2 linked regions of the Notamacropus eugenii genome follow. The protein of the gene in region 1 purifies or fractionates together with the protein of each later gene. This does not show direct contact. Links are inferred from orthologs where the notes say so. Each region holds a gene or a part of one and is shown in the gene's direction. Other genes may lie near its edges.

What was found. Proteins that work in one complex are often made in the same cells at the same time.
Region 2: the proteins of PPP2R1A (region 1) and PPFIA2 purify together in Homo sapiens (affinity purification with mass spectrometry; 3 studies listed by BioGRID and IntAct, with this or other methods). This does not show direct contact. The link is inferred for Notamacropus eugenii from reciprocal best matches to the Homo sapiens genes PPP2R1A and PPFIA2.

What each region holds. Positions count from the first base shown.
Region 1 is NC_092876.1:25,190,227-25,201,298, reverse strand, and holds the start of PPP2R1A (serine/threonine-protein phosphatase 2A 65 kDa regulatory subunit A alpha isoform), read left to right. Parts: upstream 1-6,706; 5' UTR 6,707-6,821; coding exon 6,822-6,899; intron 6,900-11,072. UniProt on the Homo sapiens protein: The PR65 subunit of protein phosphatase 2A serves as a scaffolding molecule to coordinate the assembly of the catalytic subunit and a variable regulatory B subunit.
Region 2 is NC_092874.1:262,149,595-262,159,607, reverse strand, and holds the start of PPFIA2 (liprin-alpha-2), read left to right. Parts: upstream 1-5,432; 5' UTR 5,433-6,062; intron 6,063-10,013. UniProt on the Homo sapiens protein: Alters PTPRF cellular localization and induces PTPRF clustering. May regulate the disassembly of focal adhesions.

The sequences.
Region 1 (11,072 bases):
GAGTGCCAAATGCCTCTTGTTTATGATTATTCTCCATTTGTGTCTTATTTTTTCGGGAGGGTTAGGGAGAGGTAAATAGCAAAAAGAAAAGGAGGAGACCTTCATAACAATAAAAAATTTTTCATAGCAAAGCAGCGATGCTGGTCCCAGTCTGCATTTTATATCTCTCCCCTCTCTGGCAGAAAGTGAGTCGCAAGAATACAGAGACGCACCGCACAAGAAATATCTTAACATCTCCAATAACTATGATGGGGTGGTTACTGATCTAGAGGTAGACATCCTGGAGGGTGAAGTCCAGTGGGCCTCAGGAAGCATTGCTAGTAGTGAGGCTGGTGGAGGGGATGGAATGCCAGCTGAGCTATTTAAAATCCTGAAAGGTGATGCTGGTAAAGCGCTGCACTCCAGAGGCCAGCAAATTCGGAAAACTCAGCAGCGGTCACTGGATTGGAAAAGATCACTTTATGTTCCAATCCTAAATAAAGATAACACCAAGGACTGCTCAAATTACTGAAGAAATGGACTCACTTCACCTACTGGAAAGGTCATACTTAAGATTCTGCAGGCTAGGCTTCGGGAATATGTGAATTAAGAATTATCAGAAGAGTAGGATGGTCCTCAAAGAGGCGTGCTGGATTATGGAGAAAGCAAGGGAGTCTCAGAGAAACCTCTACTTCTGCCTCATTGACTACACTGAAACCTTTGTGTGAATCACAACAAAATGTGGCAAGTCCTCAAGGAAACTGGAGTACCAGATCATTGTACTTGTCTCCTGAGGAAGCTGTATGCAGGTCAAGAATTAACAGTTAGAAATGAACATGAGATAACTGATTGATTTAAGATTCACAAAGGAATAAGACAAGGCTGCACACGTCACCTTGTTTATTTAACTTAGATGCAGAGTAGATCATGGGAAATCCCAGACTGGATGACTTCAAAGCTGGATTTAAGGATGCCGAGAGAAATATGAACAATCTCAGATGTGCAGATGATACCACTCTGATGGGAGAAAGTGAAGAAAAACCAAGAAGCCTCTTGATGAGGGAGAAAGAGGAGAGTGCAAAAGCTGGCTTAAAGCTTAACATAGAAAAACCAAAAACGCAAACCAACTAAGATTTTGGCAACTGATCCCATCACTTCCTGGCAAAGAGAGGAAGAAGAAACGGAAGCAGTGTTGGATTTTATATTTCTGGACTCAAAGATCACTGTAGATGCTGACTGCAGCCATGAAATTAAAAGACATTTGCTCCTTGGAAGGAAAGCTATGGCAAATCTGGACAGCGTACTAAAAAGGGAGACATCGCCATGCTGACAAAGGTCCGTATAGTCAGAGCTATAGTTTTTCCAGAAGTAATGTATGGCTGTGAGAGCTGGACTATAAGGAAAGCTGAGCACTGCAGAATCAACACTTTTGAAAGCTGGTGCTGGAGAGGACTTTTGAGTGTCCCTTGGATAATAAGGAGATCAAATCAGTTAAAACTTAAAGAAATTGATTCAGGCTTTTTTAGTTTGGCCACATAATGAGAAGATGGAACTCAAGGGGAAAAGACACTGATGATGGGAAAGACTGAAGGCAAAAGGAGAAGGGGACAGCAGAGGATGAAATGGGTAGACGGTGTCATGGAAGCAAAGAACATGAGCTTGGACAGACTTTGGGATACAGTGGAGGATAGAATGACCTCCATAGGGGCCATGGGGTCACAAAGAGTTGGATAGGACTGAACAACTACAATAAATACAAGAAGGAAAAGTCAAGGTAATCAGATTAAAATTTATTTAGCCCTTTCAGGTTTGCAACACTGCAAGCTTAGGACGAGAGGAGTCTGAGAACCTGGTCATGCCCTCAAAAGAAACACTGAGGTTAGAAAGAGCAGACTGAGAGGGAGATCTAGCTCGAGGTTCTATGGAGGTGCACAGGGGATGTCCTGTAACCAGGGCCAGGCCTATTCCATTTCACCTCAGGCTTCCAGGGCAACCCTGAGGCTTAAGTCCCCTCAGGCTGTTATTCCCTCTGTTGTTAGGGAGTTCGTATCTAACATCCCAGTTCCTTTGAACAATTTAACACAGGCTTTTGCAAAGGGAATTTTTTATTTTTGCTTCAAAGGTACAGTAAGAAGAAATTGTGAAATTGAAAATTGATTTTAATTCTATTATTATAGTTTATCAAATTAGATTTAATATTCCCCTTTGAAAGTTTCACTCAGGTAACTTCAAGTCACCTGAGTTACAATTCTTATCTTGTAACTTGTATCTTTACCCTTATAACTTCACATACCACCCACATGGTGGGAAAAGAACAGGCTTAAACTAAATTGTAGACTATTTCCATCTCTCTAGGTGGGGTTGTCATATCTTTGCCTGGTGATCTTGGGAGTGGAGGGGGGGCGGTGTTTATAAAGAGAGATCCAAGAGATGGTATTTTCAAACTGAGGTTAGGGGTTTTGACTTTCTGGCTTTTCAGAATAAGACTCTTCTGCAGCTTGAAATTTTGTTCAGGAATCTTGTTCGTTGCTATAAAATACCTTGTCATGCTTTAGCCTCACTGGCCTTCTGGAGGTCACCACTGACCCACTTTGTTAGTAGACACTCTTGAAATTCTATATTGTGGCCTGCCAAGCCCTCCGGGACAGACACTTCCCTACATCACCTTGTTCTCTGAGAGAGAAGGCTCAAATCTTAGTTGGGGGCCTCCTTGGCTCTGGGCCCACTAAGTTACTGTCCAGAGTGCTGGATGAATTCTCTCACAGTTCATTACCCCAAATCTCTCCTTGCTCCTGGGGTAACTGATGGGGCTGGTGGCCTCATCTGGCCTGGATTGTGACTCTCATAATCCGAATGCTTGCTGCCCCTAAATGAGTGGGAAACTCTGCTTCCCAGACCTAGAACAGAAAGGAACAAAGAAAAAGGCCCAGAGACCAAGGCTGGTGTCTTGGGGCCCTATGACCACCACACTCCCCATGTTGTGAATAAAGCAAGTGGAGGTGGTTGGAGCTTGCTGGGGCCTGCCTTTTGGAAATGCCAGCACGTCTGAAGAAGGCTCTCCTTGGCCTTGTGATCTGGTTAGTCAGTGGGAACCAGTCACAGAATGACCATGCATGATCTGGTCCCTACCCCCCCCACCAGAGCTCCCTCATACATGTCTTCACTGTTTTCCCAGAAAGATCCTCATTTCTCAGGTTCTCCACGTTGCATCAACTGAGTAAGTTGAAGAAATCTGGGCACATACATACCAGACAACCATCACAGCAGTCAGAGACAGGGCACAGAGGGCTGGACAGACAGATTTAACGATCGGAGTGCACAGACATTTGCCACATATCTACTGTGTGCCAGGCACTGTGCTTGGTCAATGTACAGAGGTGATAACAGAAATCACAGGAATGATGGAGAAGGCAGAGAATATGGAGAGACTTGCTCCAAGGACAGACCCATTGGGAAGCTCCAGACTTGGGGAATTTGAGGCTGGTGATGAGCCAGCCAAGGAGACAGAGGCACAGTGCTCAGAGGGGCAGAACTGTCAGGGAGGAGCATAAGAGGAGTTTTAGGGGATGGGATCCAGAAGAAGAGGGAGCTTCCTGCGTGTAGCAATGCTGCAGAGAAGTTGACAAGAAGGACGAGGAATGACTTCAGAAGGAAGCATTTTCAGTGGGCTGAGTGGAAGTCAGATTGTAAGGGCATAGAGACTGGTGCATTTCTAGTCTGTCTGCACTTGTACAAACACTTCTCCCTTTCCCTGAGTGATACAACCTTGCTTCCCCTGATTCCTAGAATCAAGGATTAGTTTTTCTAAAAGGCAACTAAATGGCCCCTAGCAGCTGTTTGGCCCTTCCTCCCTACTCAGTTTCCTAGGTACCCAAGGGCATAGAAAATCCTGTCCAAGTGGAGCCAGGACCTTCTGAATCTGTAGGTTTCTGAAATCATCATAGCCTGCCTTGACCACCAAATGTGTTTCCATATGGAGATAAGTGGGGCTGAGTCCAAAGAAGTCAATCTTCTTGTTGCTTATCCTTTCTGGTTATAGCAAAGGAAACCTCCTTTGGTCAACTGTTCAATGACTTGTAAGTGTCTCATTTAGTCCCACTCTTGAACGTGAACTATAGGTGTTGGCATTAGGCTTTCCCTAGCACTCTGACAGAATGTCAGCCCCTGTGAGAGCAGGGAACATTTGATTTTTGTTTTTGAATCACTAGTGGCTAGCACAGTGCCTGGCATATTTTAGAGGCCTGATAAATGCTTGATGTTTGATGGACAGTAAGGAAGGGCAGGCAGTGGAGTACAGATGACTCTTTCTAGCAGTCTGGTTATGACAAAGAGGGGATGGATGGAAGTGGAAAGGTTTGTAGGTTGAGGAAGACTTACACCTATACACAGGCCGAGGAAGAGAAGGCAGGGTACAGGAAGAGATTGACGAGAACAAGGACCTAGGGGAATATGGAAAGATAGGAGGAAAGGATAGTTGGAAAGGTCAGTGTGAATGAAGGAGAAGATGACATCATGGAATCATAGAATATCACAGGGAATTTAGAACCCAGAATGTTAGGCTGAGAGAGCCCTTGGAACATGGGATGTCAGGGCTGGGGCAAAACTCAGCATGTAGGAGGTCAAAGCTGGGAGGAACCTTAGAAGGTTGTCTCCCAAATAAAATCTTAAATTCTCAATCCTGGCACTGAGAGCCTCCCACAATCCAGCCTACCTGTCCAGTCTTCTCTCTCACCATTCCCTTCACACAGAGCACCTTTCCCCTGAGCCAGGCTGCCTACCTCCACTCTCACCTGCCCATGATCCTTTGCTCATGCTCTCCATTATGCCTGGCATAGCCACTCCCCTTCCCCCACACCTGCTGAACACCTTATCTTCTTTCAAACCCCAGCTCAGGGACCACCTTCTCCAAAAAACAACAGGAAAACCCACTGAGTTTGGAGTCAGATCCTGGTGCTTCCACTGATTCACTGTATGGCCTTGGAAGAATCATTTCATGTCTCTGGCCTCTGTTTCCTTATCTGAAAGAAGAAAGGGCTGAACTAGAAGACCTCCAAGATTCCCTTAAAGCTCCAAATCTAGGCTCTTACGATGAGATGATAGTCATCTAGGAGGAGCAGCAGACAGAGCACCAAGCCTGGAGTTGGGAAAATCTGAGTTCAAATCCAGCCTCAGACACTTACTAGCTGTGTGGTCCTGGGCAAGTCACTTCACCCTGTTTGTCTCAGTCTCCCCATCTGTAAAAGGGAGAAGAAAATGCAAACCCCATCCAGTATCTCTGCCAAGAAAACCTCAAATGGGGTCACCAAGAGTTGGACAAGACTGAATGACTGAACAACAAATGACGAGTTGGTTTCTTAGGTCTCACCTCACTCCAGGTCTAGGATTCTATCCAAGCAGAAACATGGGACCTGAGCAGAGAGGGGTTGGCACTCTGGTAGAATGTGGGACTTGGCCTTAGGAAGACCCATATTGGAATCCTGCCACAGACACTGTGGCTGTGTGACCCTGGGCAAGTCCCTTTCTGTCTCTGAGTCTCATCTGTAATGAGAAGGGGTCCTGTTCTGTAAACAGGAAGCTTTGACACCTTTGCTAACAGAAAATGGCCCTGAGAGTTTGAGGACTCCCTGTACCACTGCCATTAATTAAGGTGGCCATGGGCTTGACAGTCTACGCTCGATTCAGGCTCTGACAGCTGGAAGGGACCCGGGAAGCCAGCAGGTCCAACACCTCCTTCTTCTGCCCCAGTATCACACTTTCTCGTGTCCATAGGCTAGCCCTTCTGGCTAGCTTCTGGAAGCTTCTTGAGGCCCCGTTCTTGGGGAAGCCAGCAGGTCCAACACCTCCTTCCTCTGCCCCAGTATCATACTTTCTCGTGTCCATAGGCTGCCCTTCTGGCTAGCTCCTGGAAGCTTCCTGAGGCCCTGTTCTTTGACCCACTTTCTTTGCTTCTTTTGTATTCAGCAGTCACTCAGTAAATGCTCTGAGGGCCAGAGCTGAGATGAACCTTCGGGTCTCTCTAGTCCGTTTTACAGAGGGGAAAACCCAGGGAGGGCTTTTGACCGGGGATGCCCAGAGAACTAGGGGCACAGGCAGGATTCGAACCCAGGCACAGGGTTCCTTCCATTACAACACGCTGCCTTTGACAACTGAGGGTATACTCCGTGAAATCACGAAGCTCGACTCCTTAGGGCTCAGGTGTAATCAGATTAAGTGATCTCTAAACGCCCTTCCCGCTCTGACGTCAGCTTCCTGGGAGAAGCCAGACACGCCCATGCCGAGGTTCTGCACCTGGCAGCGCGGACCAGGGGGAGAAGCAGGGTGGGAGCGCGCATTCTCAGTCCCCGAAGATGACGTCATCGCACCGCTCCAAGAGCCCGGCCTCCTCTAGGCCGAGTCTCGTCACCGTCCGTCACCTCCTATTGGCAGGATGTGCTGCAGTCGGTCTGTCGCTAGGGGCGATGACCAATGAAATTTTGGAGATCGATTAGGAGGAGGCGGGCCCACTTCGGTTGCTAGGATGCCAGTGGCAGCAGCCCGCCCCTTCTTCCTCCGCCCCTCTACGGGAAGTGGGCCAGCTAGAGAGAAGGCCCCTTTCTCCCCTGGCCAATAGAGGATAGGGGGCGTGTCCCTGTCTACTCGGGCCAATGGGCGCGCGGTGCCTCGTGCGGACTGGCCAATGGAAGCCCAGAAACCCCTGCAAAGTCGCTTGGGAGACCCCCCCCCCCTTCTGCTTGTGTCTCTGCCCCTCCCCCGCCCCGCCCCGTCCCACTCCCTTCCTTTCCCTTCCCTTCCCTCAGCTCGGCTCGGCTGCCGAAGCCTGACGGGAGCGGGACGGAGCCAAGATGGCGGCGGCCGACGGCGATGACTCGCTCTATCCCATCGCAGTACTCATCGACGAGCTCCGTAACGAGGACGTCCAGGTCAGGGCCGGGATCGGGGCCCGGGGGTCCTGGGGTTGCGGGCGGCGCGGGCGGCTGGCTCGGCGTTCTTGGCATCTGAGGGCTGGGGGTGGGGGGAGGGAAAGCGGACCAATCAGCGCCCGCGTCGCTTGTCTCGCGCCTCCGTGGCTCGCTGAGACAGCATCTCTGATTGGACAGCGGTGCCGCTGGGGAGGGGGCGCCCGGCCCGGGGACCCCAGGCCAAGCGGGTCTGTCAGGGGGCGGGAGCGCGGGCGCGGGGGCTGCCTCCGGAACCCCTGATTGGCTGGCACTCCTGGTTCTCACGGCGCGCAGGGGGCCACCTAATTGGTTCGCGGCGAGCAAAGAGCCTCTCGATTCGCTCTGGGCACGGACGGAAAGCGGGGACCCCCCAGTGGGTTAAGGCAGGGGAGCGGCCCCTGCAAGGGGCGGGGCTTAGCTCCTCCGAGGTTCCTAATTGGTGGCTTGGGGATTAAATCCCCAGCTGGGTCCAGGCCTCTCGAGGGAGCCTAGGCCGTGGTGCTTTTGGGGCCCCCCCCATTTCTCCATCTTGATTCTCCCCCAACCCCTCTTCAAGCCTATGACCCTCTGGGTAGAGAAAGTACCCTCCGGGGGTGATGCTGAACGGCGAGCCGAGCCAATCGCCGAGGAGAGCCCGCCCCCTTGGCGGCTTTCCATTGGACAGAGCCAGGCCGAGGCTCGGAGGCCCAGGTTGGGCTCCCGGCCCCTCTGCTCCCTCCGCGGGGTCTGGGGCCGGGTGGGACCCGGACCCGGGCCTCTGGGGGCTGGGCGTAGTGCAGTCGGACGTCTGTTTGTGCCCGTGACTCTGACTGACCACTGCATGACCTTGGGGAAGTCACAGCCCCTCCCTGGGCCTCAGTTTCCCTGTTTGTACAACGGGGAAGAATCTCCAATCCAGAACAACCTTCCCTTAGGGTCCTCCTCCTGCTGAGGCTGCGGGGCCGCCCCCTCCCCCCAGGGGGGCTCCTGCCCTAGTGTGGGGAGAACTAAAGCACGATAGTATGCTGTGTGCCCGAGGGGGAAAGAAGGGGGGGGGTGTCGGGGAAGGCCTCTTGGAGGAGGTGGGACGGACTCGATGGTGGGAATTCTGTGGGTCAAGAAGAGCGAGGTCGTTCTAGGCATAGGTTGCAAAGGCGTGGAGGTGGGAGAGTAGAGAGAATTTACCGGGAATGGACCGCTTTGTGGAGGCTTGAGGGAATAAAGGGGAATAACGTGAGGGAAGCTAGAAGGGCAGTCAGTGTGGGGCCTGACTCGGGAGGGTCTGAAATAACCACAAGCTTTTCAGCTCAGGAGTGCCATGGAATCTGGATGTCAATTAGGAGGATGAACCTGGGAGGCCACCCCACGAAGGATGGCTTACAGTGGGGAACACTGGGAGCAGAGGGTCTTTGGATAGTTCCTCCCTCTGCCCCTCAGCCTTGCCAGCCCAAAGAGTTATGGAAAAGGTCTCACCCAGGGTCATGTCGTTAGCTCCTAAGTAGCGGAACAGTAACTGGAATCCAAGTCTTCAGACTCCAGTTTCCAGGGCTGTTCCCTAAAGCTGAGCCATGAAGCAGTCTTTCACTTGGTTAGCAACCTTTCCTAGCTTTCCCACAGGCCAAGAGGATCTGATTTAGGGTTTTTAACCTATTAGAGCCATGTAGTTGATATAGTGAAAGCACCAGTTTTGGAATTAGAGGTCGTGTCCACATCCCAGCTCTTATTTAATTTTTCCCTCCTGACTTTGAACAAGTCGCTCAACATCCTTGAGTTTTGTTTCTTCTCCAAAATGAAAGATTTGGATTAGATGATCCCTAAGATACTACCTCTCCCTCTTCCTGTTTTAAATCCTGTGATCTCTTCAATCACATCATCAATTAATAAACATTTACTAAATGCCTGCTATGTGCCAGGAACTGGGCTAAGCTTTGGAGATACAAAAAGAGGCAAAAGACAGTGCCTGCTCTTAAGGAGTTTACAGTCTCTTTCCAGTTCCCTTATATACTTCGCCTGTCCCCACCAGCCAGGCTAGATGGACCATTCCTTCTGCTTGGAGTGGCCTTACTTCCTTCCCTTTACCATTCTAGATCTGTTGAAGTGCTCCCCATGCTTTGTGTTTTTACAAGCTCAACTTCAAAGTCATCTTTTCCAGGAAGCCTGCTCTGGTCACTTTAGCTGGAAGTGATCTGTTCTTTCTCCAAAACCGTGTTTGACCTCATGCTTCTCTCTATCTTAGGCATTTAGAGAGTTTGTTTTCCATTATAATTGTTGGCTTTTTAATTTGCCACCTAGATAGTACTCTGAGGTTAGAATCTAGGTCTTAATGGTTTTAAGAATGGTAGATATGGTACTAGACATGGGCTTAGGAAGACCTGAGCTCAAATCCTCTTTCAAATACTTACTAGCTGTGTGATCTTGGGCAAGTCACTTGACTTCTGAGACCTTCAGTTTCCTCATCTTTGAAATGAGGTGGTTGGGCTTGGTGTCTCTAAGTCCTTCCAGCCCTAAATTTGTGATTTATTAGATGCCTACTATGTGCCAAGCACTGGGAAAACAAAAAGAGGCAAAAGTCAGTCCCTGCGCACACAGAGTTTAAAATCTAATGGGGAAGATGACATCTAAGCAGTTATACACAAAGCAAGCTATGTACAGGCTAAATAGGATATAATTAACAGAGGGAAAGCATTACTCTTCCCAATAGTAGATTTTTTTTTCATGGCACTCCTGAGCTCAAAAGCCTTCAATGACTTCCTGCAGCCCAAAGACCAAGGTTCAAACTCTTCTGGTTATTTAAGGCCTTCCCTGCTAGACCACATCCTACCCTTCTAGCCAATCTCCTATTACTTCTCTTTATGTACCCTTAGGCCCTGGCCAAAGTGGTCACCCTCACTCACCATCTTCTCTTGACAGCCTATGCTCTCCCACCTTTCTATCTTTGCAGCTGATGCCTGGAATGATATGGTTTTGCTTGATTTCAGTCTTGGAGAACATTTGCGGAGTCGAATGGGAATGAAATGCCTTTTGTAAACCTTAAAGCTCTCCACCAGTGCCAGGGAGCATTGTTACCATGGTGCTGGGGGTGCGGGGGGATCTTGGAAGGGAAATAGGCTGGAAGCCAGTTATTCATTTATTCAGTGGTTTCCCCATCTGCAAGGTCAGGGGAGTGTGCATGGTTTGTGAAGGCCCTCCCAGCTCTGATCTAAAGGCTTGTGTGGCTAAGCCCTGTGCTCCTGAGACACTGATGAATAACAGTCTTGTCCTCAGAGACTATATGCTCATCTGGAGAGATGAGTCACTCATGGGAGAGAGAGTTAATTCCCATTTGCCAAAGACTTCCTGGAAGTGGTGGCCAGCAGGTAATAGCTTTGTTAATCTCCTTCCACAGGAAAGGATAAAATGTGGCTCGTAGATGGGACTGCTTTTACTATCAGCGGGGGCTCCTAAGAGATCTTCCTGCTTCTAGCCTCTTCCCCTCTCAAATCCAGACTTTATGGGCTGCTAGATTAATTTTTCTAATGCATAGATTTGTTTGTTCTGTTTTTTGGTTAAGGAAAATGAGGCAACTGAATTGTTACATGGAAATAGTTTAGAAGAGAGGCCTTTAAAGGGACCTTAGAAATCACCTGGCCAAGTTTTCTGCCCTCTTTGCCCAGTGTTTTCCCTTTCTTCACAATCTCTTTCGCATGTTATAGGCGTAAATAAGCAGGGGGAGAGAGGGGGGAGGTTAGGGGTGTCAAGTGTTGGCAGCGATTTTCATTCTCTTCCCTCTGCTCTCATCAAGAGTTAGCTCGGTAAGCAGACCATCATTAAGGGAGTCCTTTGTTCAGGTCACCGAGCTGAGCGCCACAGTGTAGTAGACCTTGTGTAGCCCTTGCCTTCAAGGACAGCCTATGTTTAGGAGGGGAATGGAATGTGTATATGATGAAAGCAAACATTTTGCAGTGCTGTTTTGGTGCAGTGTTTTATATCCATGATCTCATTTGACCTTTTGGACAGCTCTTTGCGTGTTTTAATGTTGATAAAGCACTTTTCCTGTGGTAGCCCTATGACCTAGATAGACTAAGTATTATTGTGGCCATTTTACAGAAGAGGAAACTGAGGTTCAGAGAGGAATTGACTCTCCCAGGGTCACAGAGCTAGAATGTTTTGGAGCCTGCACTTGAAGTGGGAGCACTT
Region 2 (10,013 bases), on another chromosome or scaffold:
AGGAGAAGTAGCAGGGGATAAGAGATAGGGGGCTGGGCTTCAGTGTGGGTTCTTAACCTGGTGCCCATGAATTAAAAAAAAAAAGAACTTAATAGCTTTTAAAATGTAATTAGTTTCCTTTGTAATCCTATATATCTTGTTTTATTTATTAAAAATGATGTTTCAGGAAGGGCTTGCTAGGCTTCAATGCATTATCATTGCCTATGACAAAATAAATATGAAGAAATCCTGGCGGTGGCAAAGAATTGGAAATTGCAGCGATGCCCATCATTTGCGGAATGGCTGAGTAAGCTGTGTGTGATGGTGATAGAATACTACTGTGAGATAAGAAATGATGAACTTAAGAAAAAACATGGGTAGACCTGCATAAAATAATGAAGAGTGAAATAAGAAGAACCAAGAGAATGTTGTATAAAGTGAGAGCAAAATTGTTGTAAGAACAACTTTGAGTGAATAAGTCATTTTGCCTATTATAAATACTCAAATTAATTTCCAGACATATGGAAGTAGATGCTATCTGCACTCAGAGAAAGAACTGATAAACAGAAGTATGAACAGAATAATTTTACACACACACACGCATGCACGCATGCATATTTGTGTTTAATGGCCATCATCTCTAAGGCATGGATGGGGGAGGGAAGAAAAACAGGGAAAATTTATATGATGACTTTATTATATATTTAACAGGAATAGCAAGCTCTACATAATAGATTTGCAATTTCATATGCAATTATTTTTATTATACTATGTTATGAAAGTGCTTGTTTTACTCCATAAATTTAAGATTAAATATAGAAAAATATATTTAAAAAAGAATTCCTGGCTTAGAATCTCAAAGATGTGGGTTCAAACACTGTTTCTGACATTAGTTGTTGTTGTTGTGTTTGTTCTTCCTTCTTGAAGAGGACCATGACATCAAGATGATGACATGACTTGCACTTGACTTTGATATGAGTGAGGGAGAGCTGTGCAGGTCACCAACCTCACTTTCTCCTCCTGAGCCATCTGGATCCAGTGGCCTGATATTCATTAGGATGACTGGAGATGGCCCAGGATGCAATGTGAGACCCTGGCCCTTTCAGGCTAAGGTCTTATAGCATTCTCACTTTGAGTGAGATAGATTCATTCAATGAATAGGCTTCTTTAAGTAGGTGCTCAAGGAATGGCCCCTTTAATCAAAAAAAAAAAAAATCAAACTGGGAGGGGAAGACTCTAAAGCTTCCTGGTAAAAGAGAAACAATTACAGTTGTATTACCATGAGCAACCACTAAACCACCTAAAACTCCCTAGTATAGAGTGGAGAACACTGGCTGGCTCTCTAGCCAGATAACCAGGGTTCAAATGACCCCTCTGATACTACTTAAATGACCTTGGGCATGTTACTAACCCCTCCACCCCAGCCCTAATTTCTTTATCTCTAATATGAGGTTCCTGTACTACATGCCTCCAAGTTCCCTTTCTCTTCTAGGACTACTAAGTCACAGCTATATTGTAGCATGCAGTGATCCCACTCTATATCTAGTTAATTCTAATTTACCCTGACTTTTTTTGGGGAGGAGAGGAGGGGTCAAGGTTCTCCCCACCCAGGTCCAGCTTACAGTACCCATGTGGCCTTAAGCAAATAATTTAACTTTTTAGTCTGGGTTTCCTTATATGTAGAAGGAATGGTTGCATTAGATGATTGTTGGGACTGGAAGCTCAATTCCGTGTGGACAGTCTCGGGCAGGTAAAAGTGGGACTTCTAAATCTTAGAGTCTTACGAGGCCCTCCATGAACAGCGGGGGTTCGAGAAGGTCAGACCGAGCTAGCTCGGCTAGCTCGGGTATTTCCGCCTCTCCCCTGGAGATATGTGATGGGTGGAGTCTCCCTGCCCTCGAGGTCGTCCCGGATTGGAGCACACCTAGTTACCTAACAGCACGGTATTGAGATGCAAACTGTGTGGCTGAAGGTTAAGTAGGATTGAGGAAGCCTGAAAGCTCTCTTAGCACGTGTGGAGCCAAAGAGAAAAGTAGGGCTCCGCTTCTTTTCTTTCCTCTCTCCCCTCCCCCTCTCTCCCCGCTTGTACTTCTACTTCCAATCCCTTAAGCTTAGCCTCCTTAGGAAATCTCCCCCTCTTCGTCCTAAGAAAGAAGACCCCCTGCACTTGTAACCGAAACCCTGTAATAAAGCTCAACCCCTGTTTGACTCTGGAACGTCCTTTCTCTCATACGTGCATCCGGCGTGGCCAGCCGAAGACCTCGGAGGTGAGGTAAGGAAGACTCGGGTAGCCCAATACAGGCCTCTAGGCTTGGCAGATGATCTCAAAGTTCCCTTCCAGGTCCAAAACTAATGGTCCTCTGAATTGATCTGCATCCTTTCTTGAGAAACATTTTCACACAGAGCAAAGTCTCAGTCTGAAATCCAGTTGTGGAAAAAAAATGCACTTCATAAGTCAGTTCACTGCTGATACTATTATCTTTCTTCATTGTAGAAAGATTATCCTTGGACCTACTGAGGAAATGGCAGCTATTTCCTAAATCACCCCTATTGTGATGACACATTGCCTTAATCAACCATTTTCAGCGGTGAGTTGGAGACAAGCTGGGTAGCTCCTTACTATGTCCAGGCACTGAGAAAGCCTCTTCTTGACAAACACAATTGTCCTTGCTTTCAAATAAAACAAATACTCTTTCATAACCCATTGGGCTTTTCTGAAATGTAGCCATAGATAAAAAGACTAGTCACCATGGGGTAAGACAGAGTAATCATGCTGAGGGTCTAGTAGAGAAAAGTCATAGTCAAGAAAACTTCACAGCTAGGTGAGACTGGAGTTAGATTGGTTTTCACAAATGATGCCTTCTGTTATCACGTCTTTCTGACTTATTTGGCTCCAGCTGACCTTAAGTCTTGGGTACTGGGGACTAAATTGTGTAATAGGAGACTAGGTTTTTTCAACTGGGTCTGTTTCTAGCCCTTCTCTCCCCAGATCAATGAATCACTCTAAAAGCATTTATCATAAGGCTTTATTACATGCCAGACACTGAAGACACCAAGGCAAAAAAAGGAAACAAGACCTGTCTTCAGGGAGTTTACACTTTATAGTAGGAGAGAGCAAATACATAAATAAATGCCCATAGATGGTATCAATATTAGACTGGACCTGTGATTTTGCTGGATAACTTCCCACAAAGAAACTCCCTCTATCAATGAAAATCAACATCAGCTTGGCAAAATATAGTTGATTGGAAAAGGGTAGATTTCTTGTAGATAGAGGAGAGAACAGCTTGTTTGAAGGTGTTACAAGAAGACAATAGGGTACCTTTATAGGACAAATGTTTCATAAGTCTACAAAGGTAGGTTGGAACCAGGTTGTCAAGGGCTTTAAATGCCAAAGTTTTTGTTTCATCCTGGGGATAACGGTACCATTTAACCTCTCTGGGCCTCTTTTCTTCATCTGTAAAACAAGATGACTGGACAAAGTGGTATCTCAGGACTCTTCTAGCTCTCAATATATGGTTCTACAAATCAACGATATGAACAAGATCTCACAAGAGGAGCAGGCATGATTGGGCTAACATCTGAATCACTGGAAGGAATTCTTAAATTGATGAGATCACACTAAAATTTTGATTGGTATATGAAATAATGAGAAACAGTATGGATGGCATGGTAGAAAGGGAGCCAGTATCAAAACCAGAGAGACACAGGTTCAAGTCTCACTTCTGGAACATAACTGGCTATATGACTCTGGTCAAGTCACTTAATTGCTCAATGATCTATTTAGCTCTCAAAACTATGATTTACAGAGTGTTGACCTTCATTGCTTGTAGGAATTTTTTCATCTGGGAACAATCTAAATTAATCCACAGATCCAGCTCCTACGACTATTTGTAATAGTCAAACAGAAGAGTTCCTTCAGGAAGACTTCTTCTTCTATTAGTTTTTACTACAATTTATCTGTTTATGTTCAAGGTCTTTGAGTTTTTTTCTTCTTAGTACTTTCAGTCTTTTCCCCTCTTATTTTCTTTATCATTCACTTCCTGACTCCCTCCCCTCTGATTATGGTTTCTTTAGGTGCTGGATTTCAAAGCATCTCAGACTCCTACCACACTAGACAATTCACTGTTCACATCCCTAGGGACCTGTTGTATTCTCTCCTTCCTCAGTTCTCTTGGCTAGGCACCAATACCCCAGAGCCTATCCCCACTCCATCTTCCACCCCCACAGTTAGGCCAGAGCTTTACTCTGTGGGTGCTTCTAGGTTGCCATCTCAGGCAGACTTTTGCTTTTGCAAGGCTGTAGCCAAGTGGGCTGTTTAGTACTGAACAAACTTCTACAGCCTGGAGCTGGGGTATCCATGACTTTGAAAAGAGGGAGTGGCACTCAAGGTACAGGGGTGGGTTTTCATGGAAGCTTTTGTCCTGTTCTTGGGTGTGCTAGTAAAGCTTCACTTGAAATAGCATGGGGGAAGCAGTGATAAGTTAGCTCAGGGATAGTGAGTGTTAGTTCTTGTGTGTATGTGTGTGTGTGTGTATGTGTGTTTTAACTTCATTTGGATTCTTTGTGTCCTAGACCATGGGGATAGTTGAAGTTACTTTCTCTTTGTCATGTAAATTCTATTTTGGAGAGATTTGAGAGGTCATGGGAATCAGAGAAAATGTGTAGCCATTCTTTTTGTTGCTCCTATGACCATGAAAAAAAATTATAGGGTTTTTTTTCCTAAAATGCCTCTGTGGCCATAGTTCTTCAGACTGTCAAGAGATGGGTTTTCTGTAAAGCCTGTCCCTTGTATTTTCCAGGATACATACACTAGCCCCTGAAAAGAACTGCATGTTTAGAAACACTAGATAAGTCTAGTTTAAAGGTGTGATACTTTTATGCCCTTTCCATTTTTCTCCTCATCTCTTTCTTTTTTTTTTTCTCCCAAGAGAATGGGGCCCTAGGAAGTTGACCTGTGTGACTAGGAAGCTGTGTGACTTGTTCAAGGTCACACAATTAGTAAGTGGCAGAGATGAGATTTGAACTACTTTCTTTGACTCTAGAGTCCTGGTTTTTTTTTTTAAATTTCATTTTAAAAATTGTGCCATGCAATCGAACACAGTCCTCCCGCTGTCCTCTCTTTTTCCTAATCACCAGCATGAGGAGAATAGATTAGCTACTTTGACAGAACTAGTGCTCTAAGTAGGGCAGGTTGCAATTCAGACATTCTCCTCTTCCCATCTTCCCTGCTCCTTTCCTGGAATGTGTGCGTGTGTTTGGGCTGGTGTGGGAAGGGGGAAGCCTGGCTAGGCTGCTCATCTGGGAGATGACGAGAGGGTTGGTGGCGGGGGAACCGAGGCAGGACCGACAGTGTTCGAAGTCTGGAGTGCAGCTACTGCTGTCACGCTTTTTACCTGGTACATCAGCATCGCCAAAGCAATGAATGAGGGAGAAGAGGACTGGAGCTGTTCGCTGCTGCCACACCCAGACCACAGTTAACCCCAGCTCTTTCTGTCTCCAGCCCCGTGGGAAAGAAGGCTCCTCCTTCAAGGAGCCGCGGTGTGGCACACCGCACGCCTGCCAGGGCCTGAGAGAGGTCGGAGGGCGAACCGAACCGCCAGTCCCCGCTGGAAGCAGCGCGAATCTTCCACCCGGGGCACCGCTGGATGCCAGCGAGTGGGGTGCGGGGCGAGGCCAGAGCAAAGCTCGCCGCCTTGCCGGCTCTTTTCTCTGCGGGGTTTCTCTCTGAGCCTTCGGGAGCCAAGGGCAGGCGAGCGAGTGTTGCGTGAGCCCGTGGGAGCTGTCGGGCCGGCCCCTAGCAGAGGCAGCCGCACCACCAACGGCCCTGGCGCTGCATCTGGGCAGCCAAGTGTATGTGTGGATCTATCTGCGAGAGAGCGCGTGTGCGTGAGGGGGAGAGCAAAGACGTGATTACTTCAGAATTTATTTAAGGACCGGTGGAAACCACTGCAGCAGCTTCCAGGGGAAGCCCCTGGCCGCCGGAGAGAACGCGGAGGCGCACGGAGAGCGAGCAAGGGGAGCAAGCGATGCCTTAGCAGCCCCACGGAGCCCAGTTTCTGTACAACGCGCGCAGGCAGCAGGTTGGTTGGGCGGGCCAACTTCTTAGAGTGCTTGGGACAAGTAAGCCTCCCCACGAGGCTTGGGGAAGATAAGTGGGTGTGTGGAGGGGAGGAGGGTGGAGGGCGTGTATTACCTGCCCTTTGGAGCCAGGAGCGCATCTTATAAGTGCATTAAGAACAGAACCTGGAACAAACCTGTACAGGATGGGGGCAGGAGGGAGGGTGAATTCCTGCCTAGCCTTTCTCACCTACTATGGGGTTCCTTTTTACTGTTGCTTTGGGGCTAATGAATGCTCACTAACAACTCCTTTGTAGAGAAGGTGGCTACTCAGAACCAGGTGGGGCGCTCTTCCTCCTAACCCCCCCCCCCATGCTTTTCAGTGCCCACATATTAAGGGACACAAGAGTGAGTTTATTCACCTCTAGTGACCCAGACTTGGGGGAGGGGGCGGGGACGGAAGGGAGAGATAGTTGAGATTTCTGGTCCATTCGATTAAGTTTTGGAAAGTCAAGCTGCTTCGTCTGTCCCCCTCCTGCTGCCTCCCTTGCCTCCCCTTCCAGCTGTAAGCGTGGATTGGTGTGGAGGCGGTTGCTCCTGGAAAGGGGCCGCTGGGGCTTTAAGAGCCGCCTCCCCCCTTCCTCCTCTTGACAATGGTCTGAGCCGAGCTCTGCTTCCCAAAGCAAAATTTGTAATATGCCATTTTTCCGATGGACGCTTCTCCTTTTGGCTGCTGAAGATGCCGGGATACTGCTGCTGCTGCCTCCAAGTCCAGACACTTGCCGGCGAAGCGCTGGGGCCGGGGGTTTTCTCTGAGCCACCTTCCTCCTACCCTTGCTAGGGAAACGGTCCAGGAGCGGCCGGCGTGAGCCGACACCCCCTCCCCAACCCCCCTTCAAGCCGGTGGAGACTGCGGTTGTCAATGATCAATTGAAGGAGCAGACGCCCAAACACAGGCTTTAGGTACCATATCTCCCGGATAGCTCCACGCGCTCTTTCTTCTTCTTCCACCCCCCCCCCCGCCCCACCCCACCCCCAGGGAAGATGTCTGTAATACAGAATTCATCCTGGCTGGCGGCTTTAGTCTTCCTTATCTTCTTTCTCTTTTCTACTTCCTCTACTTCTTTGCCCTCGTCCCTCTCCCTATGCTCCCAGTTGATGCTGGGTGGTGAATTTTAGCGTGGAGATCGCGAAGTCAACTTCTGGGTGGGGGGGTGTGGCCGCTGGGTTTGATGTCCAGGGGAGTTTGAGAGGGAAGGGGCCGGTCCAGTGAGTATTAGGACATATGCTAATCAGTAGGGTGAAGAAAGTGGGAAATGCTTCCCTTGGAAATGACAGTCTTTTCTCCGGAAGACGTCAAAGAGTTAAGTAGGAGAGGGAATATGCATGCAATGCCACTCAGACAATGGCAAAGATTTTCTCTTGCTGAATTACTCACTCCCGGTAGGTTAACTGAGGTGGAGCCCATGGGGTTCTTAAGAATCAATCATTGCAGTAGAAACTCATTCTTACCAATGACTACTTCCTTGCCTTTGCTGAGTTTTAAATTCTGATGAGCTATTGGGATGGGTAGAAATATTCAGTGACATCCATCAAGGAGTTTAAGTCTTTATAGTCTATGTCACATCTGAATAGGTCCTTCTTGGACTCTTGAGATCGACAGAAAACAATTGCTTTCCATTCTGAGCCTGGATCCTGGAGTCCAGCTGGCATCCAAAACTTTTATTTGGAGACCAGAGGGATATGAAAGGCAGTCAAGGTTATGGTCAGAGGAACATTTTCCTTGTTTCTCATTTTGATAAACTGAAATACTTCAAGGCCAATTCAAACACCAGTCACCAAACTAAAGTGCCTACATTTATTTTCTTCCTCCCCTTCCCCCCCCCCCCATTAATGATATTTCTAACTCCCCAATCTGACCTAAGAGTTATCTTCTCGTGAAAACAGTAACAAGGAGATTGATATACTATATGCATCTCAAGACTTTTATGGCAAATTTTAAGCGTCATTCCCTGCTGTCCAGAAGAGTACTTGCATATTGTCAAATGTTAACAAATGCATTTAAAAGCCTAGATAATATGATGAGGAGAGGGTGCAGATCACAATGAGCCATGTAAACTCCTTCATCTATCATCCTTTCTGCCACTAGGTCTTTAAATTGTTCAATCTATCTAAGTTGATAAACTGCCTATAAAAAACAGAGGGATATGTTCAGAGAATATTGCAAGTGGAGTTTCAAATGATGACATTCATTAGAAAGAACTGGAGTGTTAATATACCAAATGGAGCTTATACATAGAAGTGGTCCTTTTTTATTCTCCTTGGTGGCATGATCCTTTAAAAAAAATCCTTCCCCCTTTTCTAGTGGCTATTTATTGCATAAAAAATGATGAAGTACAGGATTTTAACTGGATGAATTGTACTACGGTTTAGTCTGCTTTTGTGATTATAGATAGATAGATAGATATATGTATTACATATAATTTGTCTTAAGTATTTGAAAATGATCTATTCTGACAGCATGATGTTTTTATTTCTTTTTGTTTCAGATGGAATTCTTTACAAGTCTTTTTTATATATCATGAAAGTTTAGGGATGCAGGTATACCATTTATTCCTTTTATTTCCCAAGTAAGCAGCAGTGGTGGCACATTGGGATTTCAGAGTAGGGATGCTGGCACATGTAGTGGAACTAATGTTTCATCACTGGGGCAAAATGTGCCCACTTTTTATGATGGAGTTAGGCTACTGTGCTCATGAGAAGATATTTTTGGTTGAGAAAATCAAGGTCTAGCTTTATGTTGGTAAGTCTAAAAGTTGCTTAGTTATAAAGCAGCTATAGTACAATTGAGCCAGCATTTTCTTGAAGTCTTGTGGTGCCTTGGAAAGATTAAGATTGATTCTGTATCATTTTCTCATCCTCTTATTGTGTGGAGATTTGCCTCAATTTGCCTTCTTCTTAAACTTCAATATAAAGGAATTATCTGCAGTTTTATTAGCCTATTTGATTTTCTTTAGATTTATTTTAGTTAAATAATTGGAGAAATAATCAAGGTTAATAATTTGGTTTTTCAAGCAGGTAATACCTTGAGTAATAGAATAATGAACTCTCATGTCCCTCTAATATTTTATCCTATGGGCAACTATACTAAGCAATTCAAGTGTTTTCCCCTTTAGTAGATGTTGTCAAAGCATTGTAATTTTCTGTGGCCTAAGAGTTGATTTTCACTTTAAGTACTAGAAAGAAAGCAGTATGGGCTTCTTAGGATTATTTTTGAGATTGGCATAGCTGTTCACTCTATTAATTTCATGCATGGCATGTATACTAATAGTTTTTGAATATTGAACTATCAGAACATCCCATGTATTCCTATTCCTTAGCAATTTTGAAAAGCAAAATTTTGAAGGCACTTCTTGCATTCTATATTCTTTTCCCTGATAGTTTCTGATGGCAGGTAAAGATGAGAAAAATTCAGAATGCTGTGTTTTTACCTATTAAGGGTTGTCAAATTGTTGTAGAATAAAGTGTCCTTTGTCAGAGCTTTGCTAAAAGTAGCACGATATGCTGTAGAGTATTCTAACCTGGAGTCAGGAAGACCCAAGTTCATATTCTGCCACTGACTTAAGTATCTGCACAACTCTCTTAGCATATCTGTGAATCTCAGACAACTCTATAACTGTCTACTGAGGTACATGGTCAACATTTCTGGGAGGAGTTTCCCAAGTCAGTCATTTAACACATAAAATATGATCATCTAAAATTAGATATGGGCAATCATTCTTTAAAGTGTGGAGATGAATCAGGATAGCATCCAAAAATGCCCACTTAAAAAGAATTTTCAACAAACATTTATAACAAACAAAGAATAGTCTTAATTGTAAGTATGCATTAATAAATCCTCATTCTGACACTTGCTAGTTGTGTGACTGATCCTGGAAAAAGGGACTTCTGAGCCTGAATTGAAATGGTGGTAC